2 linked regions of the Oreochromis niloticus genome follow. The protein of the gene in region 1 interacts with the protein of each later gene in a pairwise test. Links are inferred from orthologs where the notes say so. Each region holds a gene or a part of one and is shown in the gene's direction. Other genes may lie near its edges.

Region 1 (9,316 bases):
ACATATTGATTTCTTTAGAAATGCATTTTATGATAATAACAGAGAGCCTCCAAAGTGTCCATAACGGGATTGAAGAATTGCAGTCACTACATCTTGAAAATATGATCAATAATAAAAGAAAACTAATGCCTGAGATGGGAAAATGCCTTTTTCTGATAGTTAAATATATCCTTAATGATGTGGGATATACATATAAATAATACATTTTGGTAAAAAATGTGAAAACATCCAAGTCTAATTTTAACCATTTTCGTGGAATGACTCCAAAATTTCTATTAAATAACAACGTAAAGGAAATATCTTTTAAAGTTATTCATTGTTTTTACCCAACCAGATCTTTTCTTGTACGTTATAAAAAGGACATTGATGTTAACTGTTCATTTTGTAATTCTGTGAAGGAAGATATTTCTCATTTATTTTTGTCCTGCTTATACACGAATCTTTTCTGGCAAGAATTTTGTGTTTTTGTTGTTTTATCTTTTCTGAGTTCTCTCTTTGTTACAAAAACTATTGTTTGGTTTCTTTAAGTACCCCATGCACAGGGCAAACGAATTTTGATTAATTTACTGATATTACTGGCTAAATTTCATGTACATAAATCTAAATTTCCTAACGCAAAACCATCCTTTCAGTGCTTTTTAAATGAAACCAAACAATATGTTAAAACCATACAACGTTCTCAAAATGTAAAAGCTGTCAAAACCATAAAGTTATGTTCCCTGTTCAATATTATGTGTTTCTTTAGTAGACTGTATACTTGTTTTTTTGGACGAAACCCCCTGACATTGTGTTTTGTTTATTTGTATCTGTATTGTAGTGATGGCCCGCTTGAAGCTGACGCTCCGGAGCGTGCGTTGAAAAAAACAACACACTGGTTCAGAAGCACTGGGCGTTTATCAATATGCGTACTTGTGCGTACTTGCGTTCTCGTGTACTCGTGAAACGTCATCAGTCGGAGACCAAGTACTGTTCCAATTCGAAGTACGCATCACGCCGAGAACGCGAAAAAGTCCCGGATGTGTTCTCGATCCGCCCATGCATCGGTGTAGACTTGGGACAGCTAAATATCCCAGAATGCATTTCGTCCAAAACTCAACAGCGGACTCCCGGCACATCGTCCCCCCCCCCCCCCCGCTCGTGGACTTCTCTCTACTCAGGTTAAAGAAACCCCAGCAGCTGTCTATAGTATTGAGTGTCCACTAGAATAGAAATAAAAGCGTTCTAACATCTCACCTGCTTGTTTTTATTAAGGTATGTACACGTATGTACATGTACACTATTTTTATTAATAGAGGTTTCACTACTGAGGTTAAAAATGATATATAAGTCACTTAGATCACTTCTAAATGTTAATGTTTGGTTCATTTCAGTGTTTTATTTGTTCCTGAGTAAACCGGTTTGGCTGTGATTAAAGTTAAGCTTCATAACATGTTACTCACAGTTAAATTAGGAGGGGACGGCAGTAAAAACTCCGGACCTGTGACATCATCACGTACGCAGGTGTTCCGACTGTACAAATCACAGGTCCGTGCTCGCGTACTTGAGAATTGAGAAACATCCCACGAGTCCGTGCTCGCGTTCTCGGCGAGTACGTACTCGCGTACTTGAGCATTGATAAACGGCCACTGTGTCGAGGCCATTGACTGTAGAAAACATGGACGACGCGACTCCGCCTCCTACCATTGTGCAAAAATGAAGCCAAAATATCCCGCTTGTGGAGGCTGCCATCTTGCAAATTTGGAGCCAGAGTCTGCGCAGTAGTGACTTGAGGTGGAGCGACTGTGTAACGTTCCCGCCCACACACCCGCTGGACATGACCGCAAACACGCCCCCCTACACTTTTTACGTAGCCCGGCTGCTCGAGTTTTTTTGCTGGTTTACCGCGACTGACGACTCGTTTAATTAAGGTAAATACAACCATGTCACTGTTATAAAAGAAGACACACAGCTTATCATCTTATAGTTCTAAAATCACTCTGTTGTTAATTCGTTAGTTAGATTAGCCGCTAGCATACGCACTGTGTTGGAGGCTTGTTGCTAGCTAGTTAGCGATGCTACACACCTGCTACTCTAATAGTCTGTGTTATTGAAGGATTCATCACTTCTTATGTTTGTTTTTATCCATTTTTAGACAGCGATGAGATCATCTGCACACTCTACAGAGGCCCAGAGTTACTGTTAATATCAAAAATATAATGCTGTCCTTTGAGATTTTAACATAAGACTGTGAGTGTAATGGATCTAAAACTGTTTAAATCTTCAGAGCCCTCTACCGTACTCTACAGCCTGGTAACATGGAGACTTTAAAAAAAACAGCAGAACGTTTCAGTAGTGTAGTCTAATTTGTTCTTTTCATTTAATAATAGAGTCCATATTTTATCAACAGCTACATTCACCCTGGAGAGAAACTAGTGAGGGAGACCATCAGGACCAAGCTGGGTTTCCTGGGTCCAGAGGTTTAGAGAAACTTCTTCCTTTTCTTTCATCACAGCTGTCCTGTGCCAGAAGTTCTGTTGACCCACTGAGAGAGGCTTCATTTAAGAAACACCAAGAAGACTGAAGCTCATGCATAGATCAAGCAGGACTCATGATCTTCACCAGCAGCTCCCTCACAGGGAAATCTTCAGCACTCCTCCGTAGGCCCGATCCAGGAGATGGATAAACCCAGCATTTCATGAATACTGTGATGGAGACCTTTGGTTTGTGTAATGTTATAAATACTCGGATACTCCCCAGAGGCTCCAGACTTTTACATAAAGATATTATATTCAGTCCTGTAGAAAGTTATATATTTAAAAAAAATATATGATCCTCTCTGGTTACTCTGGTATGAATAACTCTGAATCACTTTATGGTAAATAACACACTATCTGCAGAAAACTGTGAAAGAATTCCAGATGACAAGTTTGTAGTTCAACATACAAGTGACGACCTTTGACCTTCATCAGGTTTTATTTAATTGTGCCAGAGAAAATCTCATATGCTCTTCATGCAGCTGAGTACATCAAGTGTTTAAAACGGAAGCTGTGCAGGTCTGAGATCAGCAGCTTTGTGAAACACCAAACTGAGGTCCTGTTAATGCTGATATATAGTGACACAGTTACATGAGTGATTAATCCTTTTGTTTTTTTGTCTTTAACTTTATCAATAAAGCTGCAGCTTTCACTACAGGACATGTGGTACTTTAACCTTTGTACTGTTTTCATCAGTTCATTTTGCAGTTAACATGTTGGATGATCTGTCTGCTGTCACTGGGTGGTGCTGAGGTCTGAATCTGAGGGCAGCTCCTGTAATCACAAAGAGAACAGAACCATCAAACTCAGATATAAATTTTATCCCTCAAAATTGAAATAAAGCTGATTCTTCTGTCCTCACACACTCAGGATCTGAAGTTCTTCTCTTACATTTTTTTCAGTATTACAATACACTACAGTACTTTAATCCATAGTTCCTGATTAATGAGGAGTTACTGAAGTACAAGCTTTTAAAAAAATGTTACTGTCTTTACAGATGTGGCAAGAGACTGAAAACATGCTGCTGTTTGCATATATTTGATATTCAGTTCTGCACAGGAGCTGAAGCAGGGTGCAGCCTGTTGCTTTTACAGTATAATACTTGTAATAAAAGTACAGTAACAGTAATTAGTGACTGATTAGCCCGGAACGTTTCTCTTAATTTCTTTAGTAAGTTCATTCACCTGCACAGATTAGCTAAACGAACCCTGACAGCCGAGTGCTCATTTTAGCTAGCTAGGTCTCAGGACATAGCTAAGGACAGTAGTTACGGATTAGCTTACAAACACGATTAACTTACCGAAAAATGCAGCGGGGCCTCGGGTCCTTCTGTCGGGTAGTCCAGTTTACTGAAGAACACCTCGGGCTGTCAGGTTAAAACACTCGGTCGTGTTTTCGTAGCGTAAACGCTGGCCCTCCTCTCAGAGCCTACGCTCTATCTGCTATTCCCGAACACAGATACGCAAGTTTCTCCGTGACTGCAGCTGCCAGTCAAAGCTGCTATGATGACGTTTCACCCCAATTTAACATCGCCGCTGTAGGAATTAGAATCAAACTTATGGGAAAGGAGACCCCTTGGACATCAATCAGCATGATGAGAACTATTGATAACAAAAGAAAGAATCTTTGGAAAAAAATTATCTAAGGAGAATAAATTTATTTTATTCTGACCCCAGTCCCATCCGCTAACATGGAGGAGGCGGGGTTTATGACCTATACTGCAGCCAGACACCAGGGGGCGATAGAGACGTTTTGGCTTCATTTTTGGGGAGCTGTGGCGTCGTCCATGTTTTCTACAGTCAATGGTCGAGGCTTGCTTCGTTTGGCAAAAGTCACGTGACCAGAGACGTCCGAAGCTTCATTACGCACGTAACTCTCATTTGCGGGATTTGTGGAGTGTCTTGATGGTGACAGATAGCGAACCACTGATCATTCTACTGAGAGATTTGGTTCTGTTGTGTGGGAGTATTTTGAGTTGATTCTGGTCAATCGGGTGGGTTTTCCAGCTTTGTGTTCTGGCTGTTTGCTTTTGTTTTGTGCGTCTTTATTTTATCTGAAAACGGGAAAAACTTAAAATGTAAAAAATCTGCTTTTCATAATATAAATATCATTAAATAACTTCCATTTGACTCGTAACATTTAATGTTATAAAAAGATATATTTTATTTAAAAAAATAACCTTAAAATGTTAGTCTACAAAATGTGCAGCAATTTAATTTATTTATTCTCTTTAGCTGATAGTTTGTGGAGCCATAACTGCATCTCTACCAGTTTTTCTGCACTCCAGCCTCTTCTGTGCCATGTGAAGGGATTTTCCTTAAGGCAGGAGAAATTATCTGAACGAAAAGGAACAGATTCGGCCATCGCACAGTGGAACTAATTTTCTTCTTAAATAAAAATGAAAAAGGGTTTCCTTAAATGCATCATGTTTTTAATTTGCAAGTTCATGAGCATTTCCCTTTCCATTTCACAATCAATTCTACCCCCAGGTCAAAAATATGTATAGACAAATTTCCCTAATATAATATTATTTATAAATATACCCGTCTAGAGATTAAATGCATAAGTACATGGAGGCAGGACCTCACAGCAGAAGCATACTGCATAATGTGCATTATTATATGTATGTTATATGTAACGTGGTATTTTTCAATTATTGTATTTACCAACATCAAGAAGTCACAAGCAAAGAAAGACCAAACCATGGTGCATGTTCACACAAGGAAAGTTTACTGGTCAAAATTATTTATTAAACAAATAAACTACATTTTTTAACACCAAAAAATACACGTTCAAAGCAACACAACAGCAGCCCAATATGAGACAGAGTTCCACTCTGTAGAGTGAGCTATCATTATGAAGCAGTTGGTTTTATTTTGTGGATTCAAGCTGCTCTTCATATTTTTGGCCACCAGATGTCACCAGAGAGGACTGTGTTGAAAAGCTTCCAGTAATGAACCGTTTTTCAATACAAGCTTCAGTGCTTCAGAAAGCTTCATTTGGCCATCACTACTGTATTGTGTGCTTTGTCAATAAAGCGTATTCCAAAAAAAAGCGTGTTTTGCTGCCCATTTTATTTCGAATCTGTCGCGAACCGGCGGGCCAGTTACTGAATCAGTCACGTGGTACGAACGCTACTGCATACGTAATCAAAGCGAGCCTCGATACGCGCTTCACAAAAACTCCCCCGAGCTTCGACACATCAGTACTGTTACGTTCATTAAAAAATATTGAAGTTTAAATCTGAGGAAGATGCAGGATGATGCACGTTATCTCAAACGGTCAGTCATAACGTGAGTTTATTATTCTAAGAGTAATGTTATCGTTTGCTAGCTACGGTCTCTTGTACGCCAATTTAAGTAATATATGGTGTCCATACTATCACGTCAGCTTTACTGTGAACGTTTAACAAACACTTGGAAGATAAGAGGAAGCGTTTTTTAAATTGAAATTCTTGCTAATTAGCTTGCCCTGATCCATGGCATTTCTCTATATAGCGCGATGTTTAATTACCTTTCCAATCTGGGAAATTTCCTGTTTTCTTGCTCGGTGCAGAATGCGAGCATATAATTGTTTTTGTTTTAAATGAATAACGACAACGTGCTGGTCCGTTTGGCGTACATGCAGTTGACAGAAAGGTCACTTAAAATATCTCACAATTTAAATCAGCCTTCATGCTTCTATTCACATCCCGTTCGTTAGCACAGTTACCCAATTATTTCTAAAAGGAGCCTACAGTGCATGACAACTTATAAACAAATAACGACTGATTTCACGTTTTCCACTGACTTATAAATCCGCCAGTAAAATAATAAACCCAGTTCAAGAATGTTTCATTCTTGAACTGGGTTTATTATTAGCTTCCCTACGTGAAGGGGGATTGGAACTCTGAATTTCAGCTAAAATAGCTAGCAAGCTTCCGTGCTAAACTGTGGTGGATAATCGCTAGCTAATTGCATGTAGTGTTGAATTTATTTGCAATCAGGGGTTTGCACCGAGTTGAGCTCATGTTTGTCATGCTTCAACTCTGTGAAATCGTGTTTTATTGTTAGCCGGCTAGCCAGTATAGTAATATTATGCTACTGTCTGGGCGTGTCTTCCTATGCGTTATTGTTAGTGCTGGTGATTTGTTACTGGCTTGGCAATTAACGACCTATTTTCTGTAGCAACATGTAAAGTCATTTTGTTGTGAAATGAACTTGCTAGCTGCTTTGCGTCCGATGCAGTTATTATATGGTATGATGTAAATTAAATAACTGGAATGTGTTTACCGTATTTTGTACTGCCTGTTCTTGATCACTCAAAGCAAAGTGACTGTGGGCGGTTTGGACGTCCATCCCACAGAGAAGGCCCTTGTAGTCCACTATGAGGTGGAGGCATCTATCCTTGGAGAGAGTGGAGGACATATGCTTGGAGAACGCAAGGAGGGACAAAAAATGTAAGCGGCCTCTTGACTCACAGCTCCTAAACACTTCATTTCAGTTTCCTTTTGAACTCGAAATCTTTTTTTTCCTTAAAAAGGAGAGCTTTTAAGTTGATTGGATTAGATTTTTATGTCAAATTAACCTTTGTCAGTCTAATCCATCTAAACTGGACAGATAATTCGTAATCATTTCTTCGTATATTTTAATAGTGAGGACAACTAAAAATAAAATGTAACAAATTCCATACATTTTGCAATGAACTTTTATTCCGTTGGTGGATGGTAACAAAGCCATGTTACAAAACAATGTTTTGGTCATGTGCTGACATATTTCTATCAGTTAATATTGCCCCATTTACTAATATATACCTATTTGTAAATAAGGTAACATTTACATGTGTCAGTGGCTCATATTTATCTGTTTTGTCACATTAATTTCATTCTGCCAGCAAGTGACGTTAGCATAATTGGGCAGCATATACTGTATATAAAAGACGAATGTAGCTTCTAGGTTGGAAAAGTAAGTCCCAATAATCAGCAGCAAAGGATTTATCTGATTGGAAAATGACTTTATGGTCTTAACTGCTGCTAATAAACGCTAATAAATAAGGTTTTGTTGCAAGGCAGGCCTAACTAGATATTCTACTACCATTTGAGCGTGTCTGTCTTTAGGTTTTACATCACAACAGGACCTCACAAACAAACTAGTGGGTGACATCATGACAGTGTCTTTTACATTAGGTTTGTGAAAAGAGGACTATTCTGCCTGAGGAAAGGATTAAAAAGATATGTATTATTTATGCTAGGAAAAAAGGGTGTTGGGCCACAGTTTTACAATCAGTATATTTGTTTTGAATTTAATGAAACCTGCTAGCTTCTGCTTTCTCTTCTGCTCTTTTTTTCATGCTCCAGTATCCGCATGAAAAGTCTTTCTCCTAGTACAGATGTGGGAGCTTTGGCAAAGAAAGTGCTGGAGGAGTGTAAGATGATCCCTGCTTCCCGTCTGCCCCAGGTGGAGCAGCTCCTGTACTACTTGCAGAACAGGAAATCATCCCCAGTGGAGAGCAAGGGTTAGTCATACCACCTTCATTGCACCTGTGCTCTGGAGCCCAAAATCTTTACTGTCCAATTCCGACTTTGGCTAACTTCAGTCCCACATGTAGATTGGCAGCTTGTTAGTCCAGCATGTACTGTAAACATTCTAGAAATATTAAGACATGTAAGGAGGTTGTAGTGTAATGGCAGACCTAAAGTATGCACTGTGATGCTAATAAAAGAAAATGTAAACTAATGCAAGTTAAGTTTCAAGTTTTCAAGTTTGGAATTAATGCTGATGTGCTTTATCTTGGCTGTTTGTTTGTGTGTGTGTGTGTGTGTGTTTTGTCACCAGTGGAAAAAAAAGAAAAAAGAACAGTTAAGCCCAAAGAATTGACACCATTTGAAGGCATAGAGGTAACCATTTGTTCCACTGTAGTTTGATCTCACACAGCAGTAAGCACGTGTTCTGTCTTCATTATAGCAACAACTCGAAGTTGCTCAAATGTGTTGTTTAAATAGTTTGGCTGGTGAAAGAATGCATTTGTTATCAGTCAATAACTTTGTGTGTCTGTTTGTGTTTGTAGTTAAATGAGGAGGCCAGTATAACTAGAGTGGATGAGTATATTGAACTGCTCTATGAAGGGATTCCAGAGAAGATCAGAGGCTCAGCTCTCATCCTGCAGCTTGCCCGTAACCCTGATAACCTGGAGGAGCTACTGCACAATGGTACACTTTTATTCTCCATCTTAATTCTGATGGTTAAGCGAGTCATACCTAGAGCAGTTTCCTGACATTCCTGGATAGTTTAAGTGTGTCATCTCTTAAAAATGTTTGATATGGTTTGACTAAAAACATTTAATCAAGTTAGTGTAACATCATTGGTTACTACCTTTTTGATTGATTTCTATTTAGCTATATTTTTCTGCATACAGAAAGAACATTTGATTCTCTGATTGTCTAATCATTAAATGCAGCGCGCTTTACTTAGAAGTGCTATATATAATTGTCATTTTCTCCAGAGCAGTAGCAAGTTCTTAGCATATTTTTCCATTTTTTTCTGCACTACAAAATAACTGAACCTAACCAGTGCTCAGTATCGACTTAAAGGCTGTCTCCTTGGGTTATTGTTAGAATACTTCCATTTTGACCTCTGTGTTATGATGGTATTTGATGCTAGATATATTGTATGGACTAAAGTATTGGGCTACCTGTTTGAATTCAGGTGTTTTCATTCTCATTGCCACAAGTGTATAAAATCAAGCAACTAGCCATGCGGTCTGCTTTGCAAACATTAGTGAAAGAATGGGTCACTCTAAACCTGTGTTTCCCAACCTTTTGGAGC
Region 2 (9,114 bases), on another chromosome or scaffold:
CTGAAAACTCTTGAGTGCAATAGATTATACTTACAGCTTCAGACTTTGGTGGGACTGGTGGAGGAGTAAGAGGCACATCAGAGCTGGTTATGGCACCCAGAGGACAAGTGACTGGGTTTGTCAGTGCAGCTGTTGTGGCACAGTCACTGTTGAGGCCTCTGATTCCTTCGCTTTGAGAGGCTTTTGGAATCTGACTTCTCAAGTGATCCAACCACAGCTCCTCATAGGGAACATCCAGCTTGTTGAGGGTTGGTTGTGGGTTTGTGCAGTCCAACAGCTCTGGGAAAAAGTGTTCATTCTCTTCTGAAGGATGACTGTCAGAAGCCATAAGAGCCCAATCTCCGCATAGTGTCATACAACCCTGCAAGTTGACCTCACTGTTACCGTGCAGGTTGCTGCCATACACGCACACAGACAGTCGGTGGAAGGACTGGGTGAGTTCATCTCGGGCGTAAGTCAAAGAGCTGGGAATTTGCATATGATTGGGACAGCCGCTTGAACTCCCGCTTCCTCCACTGCTACAACTACCATTTCCACTGCTTTTTTTGGGGCTTTTGCCATCTTCATTCCAGTCTGTTCGTACGTCCCGGACAGCACGAGAATAGTCATCGATATCAAACTGTTCCTGGCAGAACGCAAACCAGCGATGCACCATAGTATCTAACCACAACTCTCCTTGCAGCAATTCTTCCGGAACAATAAATCGTGGCATGGCTATATGAAACGGAAAATGGATAGGGATAATTTTATTGCTTCGCAGAATGCAGCACACAACCACTGTTTTCGTCTGAATGTTGACCAATTTGTACCGATGACCCTCCCTAATAAGGTGGAGGTCATACTGGTTGCGGGGTGGAGTGCTGGGTACTGTCACATTGACAGGGAGACGAGTTTTCTCCACAATGTTCCTGATGTTGTGCTCGCCGTCTTGCATCTGAAGCTCAAGTGGACTGCAGGTGCTGAACCTGCCTTTGCACTGGAACGGCAGGCTGATGCTCTCATTGGTGCGATGGTTCATGCAAATCAAGCAAGGCATCTTGCCTCGACCGATCTTACTGATGGAGTTCAGCTTTCCAATCTTCTTAAAAATGGTGTTGAATCTTGATTTTTCTTTGAAGCTTTTGGCGTAAAGGATCTCAGCTTGGCCCATTAACGTCAGTTCATCACCAGTGTTTAGTGTAATGTTGTAAACCTCTGTGTCTTCATTGCATTCCCCTGAAGCCATCTATGAAAACATTACATACATGAATTTCGATATACGCAATGAAATGAATCTACTTTACCAAACTTAACTTGGAAAATTTTAAACTTTAACTGGAAATCTAAAGTTATGAAATACTCTTGGTGGAAGCGTTTAGAATTATAGCTATATATCCTTATTCATAAACCTCACATAAAAATAGATGGATTAAATGTACCTTAACATTGAACATGATTTCCTCCATGACATATACCCTTTCAGGGAACGCTTTGGCCACTTCCTCCACGCTGTTGTAGTACTGCACAGGCTCTTTGACATCTCTGTCCTGCTCGAGCAACTTGAACTGACCTACGAAAAGATGGAAAAGACATGTCAATGGTGTTTTGCACGCGTTTTGCATCAACACAGACTTACAACTATAAAATTACATAATTTATTTTTGACTTATATATTTTAGTGAATAATTCTTCAGTTTAGGCAAAGATGCATCATCAAATATCATATTTAATATCTGATAATGGATATCATATAAATACTGTAAAGCGCTTTCAGTGCTCGGATAGAGTAGAAAAGAATTAGTCCATTTACCATTTACAAGACAAACTAAATAAACATCGACTGTGGCTGCATCTCACCTTCATAGTGAACTGGGATCTCTATTTTGGGCCCAATGACATAATGTCCCTCCTCCAGACTGTGAGCAGTAATAGTCGTCCACTGACGACAGGAATGAATCAAGAGGTAGTCATTGTCTCTGAGCCCTTCAACCAGCTGACCTACAGGTAGTAAAAAAACAAAACAAAACACTATTTACAGAGCAGAAAACAGCATAATTTGCATAATTACAACTTTAAATTAATCGCCAAGTAAGCACTGAACCATCCAGCAACAAAACATCTAAAACAAAAAATGTTCATATCTATGTTTTCACCAGGTGGTGTCTTGGATGTGGGTCATGAGAGAACTATTGAACCTTAATAACTACAGAGAACAGGCCATTCAATTAAATATCACTTGGAGAAACACTGCTTTTACCGTTTCTGTTTTCATACCACTCTTTAGCCATACAGTCTGCTCTATTCAAACTGAGGCATTGGATTACCAAGCACATTTAAAGTCACTATGGATTAGGCCATTAGTCAATGACTAATGGCCTAATCCATACCTCTCTAAAAAGCATGCTCTATCATTCAAAGTACAATACACCACTTTAGTTCTCCATAAAAGGCCAAGCATGTGTCAGGAAGATGGAGAAAATTATTCAAATTATTAATGATCTCAAAGTGCAGGGCACAGTGAGCATGTTTATTTTCAGGCATAACTGAGGATAAAGTAGTTTTAAATATACACTTTCAGACCCAGGTCTGTATCAGAATCAGAATTATTGAAGTATTCTGATTCTGATTAAGATACAAGTTCAGACCCAGGATTGTATTAACATATAGTTTAGTTAGAGGTATAGTAACAGTACTGTGTAAAATTCTTGAGCCCCCACTCATTTCTTTATTTTAATAGGAAAATGGGAAATGGCTGCAACATGTGAAAACATACATGGAAATACAGGCTATACGCAAATGCAGAGTTTGTACAACTCTAACAAAATTGAAAGTAAATATTTGATTTGACCACCTTTATTCTTTAACACAGCCTAAACTCTAAAGCAGCTTTCTTGTAATTTCTTTACACCAGTTGCTGCAGTGCAGCCTCCACCCTATTTTACAGGTGGCTTTAGTCACTCCTGACCTTCTCTGTACATACTCACAATGCTCTGAACCAAACATTTCTAAATTGCATTCACTGCTCCATCAGACCTGATGCTACTGATTTTCAGTCCAGTTCTTGGTTAATTTGGTATTTTTAGTGGACTCAACTAAATAAATGGGAATCAGAGTGTATACAGAAGACTGGCTGCTCCATTTAAATGAGGTACTTTTTTTTGTCCTTGAAGAAAACTGTCAGATACTGGAACTACAAAAACTTTGAAAAACCTTCAGAAAACCTGGAGAACTATTGCTCAAGACCACTTCAAAAAATGCAATAAAGTCTGGCTATTTGTAAGCAAAATATGAAGAAATGAGTGGTGGCTAAATACTTTTGCACAGCACCATAACATTATCATGTCTTAATTCTTAAAAACAAATAAATAAATACTTGTCTTTTTTGTAACCAGAATGAAGACAATGATGCTTCTCAGCTTAAACAGAGCAACTAGGTTACGATTTAGTTATAAGATTGGCATTGCGACTCAGCCTGCAACAATACATGTATATTAAAAAATGTGGCTTTCCAATGGTGGAGCTAGACAGTATGTGGTACAACTCATCAGTCGTTGCAATATAGTTTTTACAAAACCTGAAATAACTTAGAATAACTTCATTACAGAAATGACTATAGGGTTTGCACGTTTAATACCAAAAAAGGTGAGATCTGCACAACGGATGCAAAGGCATTACCAAAAATAAACCAAAAAACGAGAATAAGAAAACGCTTATTTTGTAATGTAAACTAGACCACACTGTTGAGAAACGGTAAGTCACACGGCTAAACTCAATCGCAAAGATTTATGTTTCAGGCTTAAGTTTGCCTTTGCTGCTAGCTAGCAGCTAACAAGCGCTGCCCTGATGGCGTGAAAAAGTAAAGTTACTTGCCGTTATCCAGCTTGACAATTTGAGGCAACTTATAAGCACTGACAAGTTGATCTAATGGTAAGGACGTGGTACTCCATGTAACTTCTTTTAAATTGTTGTACAACATTGATCCAAGGTCCATTTTGCTAGCTTACATTAGCCAACAAGAGCTAGCTACGTGTAAACACGGTCACAAAAGGCTACACTAAGCTAACGCACTAAATAATATAGCGACTCTCCGTCCACGGTGTCATATCACGCATGGCATGTTTCTTAATAATCTTCGCATTTTTTCCTTTAAATTTGCCTACGTATCATAAAGAGTCGTTGTCTGATAATGTAGCAGACCCATGTTTGTTTAACTACCGATGGGGCCAGTGCTAGTTTGGATCAGCCGGAGGGAGGCAGCGCGCAAGTCGCTCTGCTGTGATTGGTGGAGACAGTCAGCGTAGGTGGGCTCAGGCGGTAGAGAACCAACCACACAGCAAGGAAGCTGGAATAGTTTTCTTCTGAAGGTAAGGAATACATACTTTGGTAAACAACAGAAAAAAACCCCACCAATATAACTGATTTCATTTACAATACAAGTGAATTAATAAAGCTGTGCTAGAGTGCAAAGCTTGTACTAGTAGGTCACTATCGTTTTTAAAAACTTTAAGCCGGAAGTTGTAGTTTGTGCACTTGCACTGTTTCTGATAACTAAAAGACAACAAAAAAGAATACCGACTGCCTGTTTCGAAGTGTTTTTACCTGCTGTAAATCGTGATTCAATAAATAAATAAATAAACAAATAAATAAAAAACCCTATTACTTTCAGTCTTTCTTCTTATCTTATCCTTGTTTACTGACACATCATTAAGTTGTTCTTGTGTAATCACATTCCCTACACCCTGTCCGTCAACATTCCTGGAAATCTATGGCTAAACATCACACGCATGACATATGTGGTGATGGGAACGTATAACAAAATCAGATTAGCTTTATTTAAATACCACACACAAATAATGAATTGTCATGTAGATGACAGAACATCACATTGGGAAAAAAGGGACAACCCTTTAGCTTTAAGACCTGGTGGTAATGTGATATTTATATATACACCAACAATGACTTTCATCACACTTCCTCTTCTCAGTGGTACAAATCAGAGGAACTTCCTTACTGTGGTCTGTAGCTCAGTGTACTCCTAACCTGCCAACATGTCTTTTGTAGACACTCTGCGCCACTGGGATGAGGCGGTAACTTGCGTCAACAGACAAGATTTCTCCAAAGCACTTGAGATTTTCTTGGCTATTCAAGAACCAAACTCCAAAATTTTTTTTGACATTGGCTGTCTCCATCTTCTTAACCAAGACTTCGATGCTGCTGAAAAGGTATGTCTGATCTGCAGGCTGAAGCATAAACACACAAATATTAACAGCTGTCGTATCAGCACATTAGTCCAAACAAGAAACTCTTTTGAAAGTAGCTGAAATAAAATTCTCTGATATGCTGTGTGAAAGCGCAAGTCACTGAGAAAGGAGAAGTAGATCTTACCATGTTTTCTAGAGGAAGTGACTGTTTTTTTCTGTTTCTCAGGCGTTTGATTGCAGCATACGCAAGGATGAACATTTGGCCATCGCCTTCTTTCAAAGAGGAATCACTTTTTACAAAAAGAAGAGGCAAGACACACCTGCCTTTTTCCTTTTTTTTTTTTAAAAAAAGGGACCATATTATTTTTTAAGTTTAATGACGTTATTTAAAAATGCTTCATAGTATATCATATGCAAATGTTTTAACTTTTGTCTCTATGTCTCTATGTAAAGGTATGAGGAGAGTTTAGCTGACTTCCAGAAAACCTTTAAAACACTCAGGGGCAACCAGCTAATAGATTACAAAGCGCTTGGTCTCAGATACATACTATATGCTTGTGATGTGAGTATTCTTGATAACCCGCCCTATTATTAATCCTGAACACTACATCCAAATAATTCATTTGATGTTATGAGCTGTTCATTCATAATACAACTTAGCATTCGTTTTTTTTCCTGGCCAAGGACACAAGCTTAACAATGTCTCCACAGGTTCTCCACAATATGGCCCTGGTTGAAGCTCAGTTGGGTAGATGGGAAAAGGCCCAGGAGTACCTCATGAAGGCTCTTGACTACAAGACAGAGGCCAGGTTTAATATCATCGACAAAGCTCTGCAGTCAATCCTAGTCAGTTGTGATACAATCACTTTTGTGAACCCATTTAAATGTGATTACATGTATGATATCAAATGTAGTAGTTTTTCTTCATTCCATTAACCTATATTTGGTAAGCTAATATGCTTTATTCTAATTTTGCTTTAAGTCAGGTGGATATTGATATGCACGACTGCTGTATTAACCACCGGCAAATATTTTAAGTTTCACTCACAATGAAATTTCACCAACAGAAACAGAAACTTTTCAAACTGGTCGAGTTCCAATCAAAAGAGATGTTCAAACCAAATAAGCACTATGTTGCAGAGCTGGAGAAGAAAGACTACCTGGGCAAAGCAAAGGTGATCTGTTATACAGCCTGTTCTATCTAATCTAGTGTGATTATAAAGCTATCAAAAGTCAGCATCACAACATTTTATTATGTTAGGTAAAATGTCAGTCACTCATTTTATATATATATATGTACACACATACAGAACTTACACATTTGAAATTACTCAGAGAAACCAATAAGTTTATTGTTGAGTGATATCTATAAGCTACTTTCCCCCCCTCTTATCATCAGGTCGTTGCCTCTGTTGTTCCTCAAGATGAGTTCTCTGGATTTGCCCCATTGCAGCCTCAGGTGACACACTGGCTTTTATTGACAATAAAAACTTTACAGTTTGATGACAGAAACAGCAGTGCGTTCTTATCTTCTGTTACTTTATATTAAAATATGCTACCTTGGTGCCTGTTTTAAAAGCTTCCAGTGATCCACATCAACAAAATGGAAATGAACTTGTGCTGCATTATAGAGCAGCACTGCAATCCTTTACAATGTTAAGAATTACTGTTAGATTGAAACTTTACATATTCCAGTGTGTTGCCATGTCTCTGATGGACTGTGTTTTTTTTATTTGATAGGTGGAAGATGGTCCAACTTGTCCAAAAGAGCCTGTGGTTCTGAGGTATGATAGTCACTTTGGATCCATGCAGATTTGAAACTCTTTAAACAGAAATGATCTTAGTATTTAATGATGTTATAGTTGGCAAGTTTTTTTGATATGTGGATTCTCTACTATACATGTTTAGTACAAATACAAAATGGGGGAAAGCATGAGTCATATCTATGAAACTTTGCTTTCCACAAAGAGAAAATGTGACTCAAAGTGTAGATCTAATAATTAAAACCTGAAAATAGAAATGTACCGTTACACAGAATAGTGCCAACTTTAACCTTTGTGTCTTATGTCTCTTCAATTTCACATCAGTTCAGTTCAGTTTTATGTATACAGAGCTAAATCACAACAACAGTCACCTCAAGGCACTTTATATTGTAAGGTAGACCCTACAATAATACATACAGAGAAAAACCCAACAATCATATGACCCCCTATGAGCAAGCACTCTGGTGACAGTGGGAAGGAAAAACTCCCTTTTAACAGGTAGAAATTTCTGGCAGAACCAGGCTCAGGGAGGGTTGGGGTGAGAGAAGGAAGACAGGATAAAAGACATGCTGTGGAAGAGAGCCAGAGATTCATAATAAGTATGATTCAGTGCAGAGAGGTATATTAAGACATAGTAAGGGAGAAGAAGAAATACTCAATGCATCATGGGAATCCCCCAGCAGCCTACACCTATTGCAGCAAAACTAGGGGAGGATTCACTCTTGATGCCATGTGGACATTTCTTGTGTTTACAGGGCTTTGGAAGGAGATCCGCACACTGTGCTCTTTGAGTTTATTCCTGAGACCAGTGATGAGCTGGCTGTAGTGCCGGGCAATATTGTGTTTGTGTTGCAGAAGGGTGCTGACAACTGGGCATATGTGGTCTTCAATGAAAGAGTAAGATCTCCACATCTGAAACTTATTGTACAAATTTTAACACCAGTACATTGTGTTGTTTTTATGCACTGAAGCCAGTATTCATATCAGGTACTTTTATCACACAATTAATGCATTGCTGTTGTCTGCTGAGAGTATACATGGCTGTGATGTCTTTCACAGAAGGGCCTTGTTCCTTACAACTATCTGGAACGTTTGGAAATCTCCTTAGCTTCTAACAAAAACAAGGTAAGCATTTATTTTTCATTATTCTCAATTGTTGGTGTCATAATCAATTACTCTGGTAATGTCAGTGCTTAAAACATTGTAGTTTCCTTTCCAAGCTTTCCTTTCATTCTTTCCAAGTTTTTAAAATAACACAGACTTTACTTTTCTTTATTTTGAATGGGAACAACTATAAACAGGGAATAACTCCACCTCCAAGCCGAGAGCCACCCACCAGACCTGAAAGGATACAAGGTAGGCTTTTCTGGTACAGGATACAAAAATTAAATGAGGATTTTCCAATGATATCTGAGCCTTATGTGAAAAATCTAATTTTCCACATTTTCTTTATGTAAGGTCTTACGCCAAGAGAAGCCACTAGTGGAAATCGTCAGCGTCAGGTATGCCAAAGCAAAGAAAATGAGAAGTACTGAGATGTTTAATTCTGGCTGTTATTTTAAGTTCTTTTATTTCCTCTCATCATTTCCAGGAGAAACAGTCCACAGACAATTCATGTATCGTCAAAGTGCATTTCAATTTCAACTTTGTCGTCTCAGTCCCGTCTGGGTCACCCTACACAATGCTGATTGAGAAAATCAGCAGGAAACTGAATCTTCCTTCTTCTGCAGTCACCTTGAGGTAGAGCACATCATTAAGAAAACAAGAATGTTTGGTATGCATTGTTTGTACTTACAACTGAATACCTTTACTGGGTTTAGTTTAACCTCTGAGGCAAGTGAACAAAGTGTAATCAGTGCCAACACAGAAATGGAGAAGCTGTGGAGCCGTGCCAGCAGTGGGCGTGTCACTTTGTGGTGTAACACCAAGGAGGTAAGAGAGCAACCATCTATTGCCATGTTATTGCTGTTGTTACAGTAACAACGGCAATAAGTAGTAAGTAAAATATTCCCAGTATTAGCGATACTGAAGTACTTTTAGTATCTTTTTGTTTTTGCACTCCTGTTATAATTTCCGTTTACACTGATAACCATTGTGGATGTTTTCGGATTTCAGGAGGAGGTTCACCTGGTGGCACTTCACTCCTACGAGTCGTCAAATCCCGAAGATCT

What was found.
Region 2: the proteins of kinesin-associated protein 3 (region 1) and ncf2 interact in binary tests that used the Homo sapiens proteins (3 or more experiments, as listed by UniProt). The two-hybrid records come from large-scale screens. The link is inferred for Oreochromis niloticus from reciprocal best matches to the Homo sapiens genes KIFAP3 and NCF2.

The regions. Positions count from the first base shown.
Region 1 is NC_031982.2:1,954,201-1,963,516, forward strand, and holds the start of kinesin-associated protein 3, read left to right. Parts: upstream 1-5,646; 5' UTR 5,647-5,765; coding exon 5,766-5,806; intron 5,807-6,819; coding exon 6,820-6,951; intron 6,952-7,848; coding exon 7,849-8,006; intron 8,007-8,326; coding exon 8,327-8,388; intron 8,389-8,558; coding exon 8,559-8,700; intron 8,701-9,316. UniProt on the Homo sapiens protein: Involved in tethering the chromosomes to the spindle pole and in chromosome movement. Binds to the tail domain of the KIF3A/KIF3B heterodimer to form a heterotrimeric KIF3 complex and may regulate the membrane binding of this complex.
Region 2 is NC_031974.2:25,537,510-25,546,623, reverse strand, and holds the start of ncf2 (neutrophil cytosol factor 2), read left to right. Parts: upstream 1-4,987; 5' UTR 4,988-5,027; coding exon 5,028-5,201; intron 5,202-5,406; coding exon 5,407-5,489; intron 5,490-5,633; coding exon 5,634-5,742; intron 5,743-5,891; coding exon 5,892-6,026; intron 6,027-6,247; coding exon 6,248-6,355; intron 6,356-6,579; coding exon 6,580-6,639; intron 6,640-6,920; coding exon 6,921-6,964; intron 6,965-7,698; coding exon 7,699-7,840; intron 7,841-8,002; coding exon 8,003-8,068; intron 8,069-8,244; coding exon 8,245-8,299; intron 8,300-8,401; coding exon 8,402-8,445; intron 8,446-8,534; coding exon 8,535-8,683; intron 8,684-8,763; coding exon 8,764-8,875; intron 8,876-9,058; coding exon 9,059-9,114. Other genes in the region: garem (GRB2-associated and regulator of MAPK protein 1), read right to left, coding at 35-1,225, 1,419-1,549, 1,837-1,977, 3,850-3,970. UniProt on the Homo sapiens protein: Subunit of the phagocyte NADPH oxidase complex that mediates the transfer of electrons from cytosolic NADPH to O2 to produce the superoxide anion (O2(-)).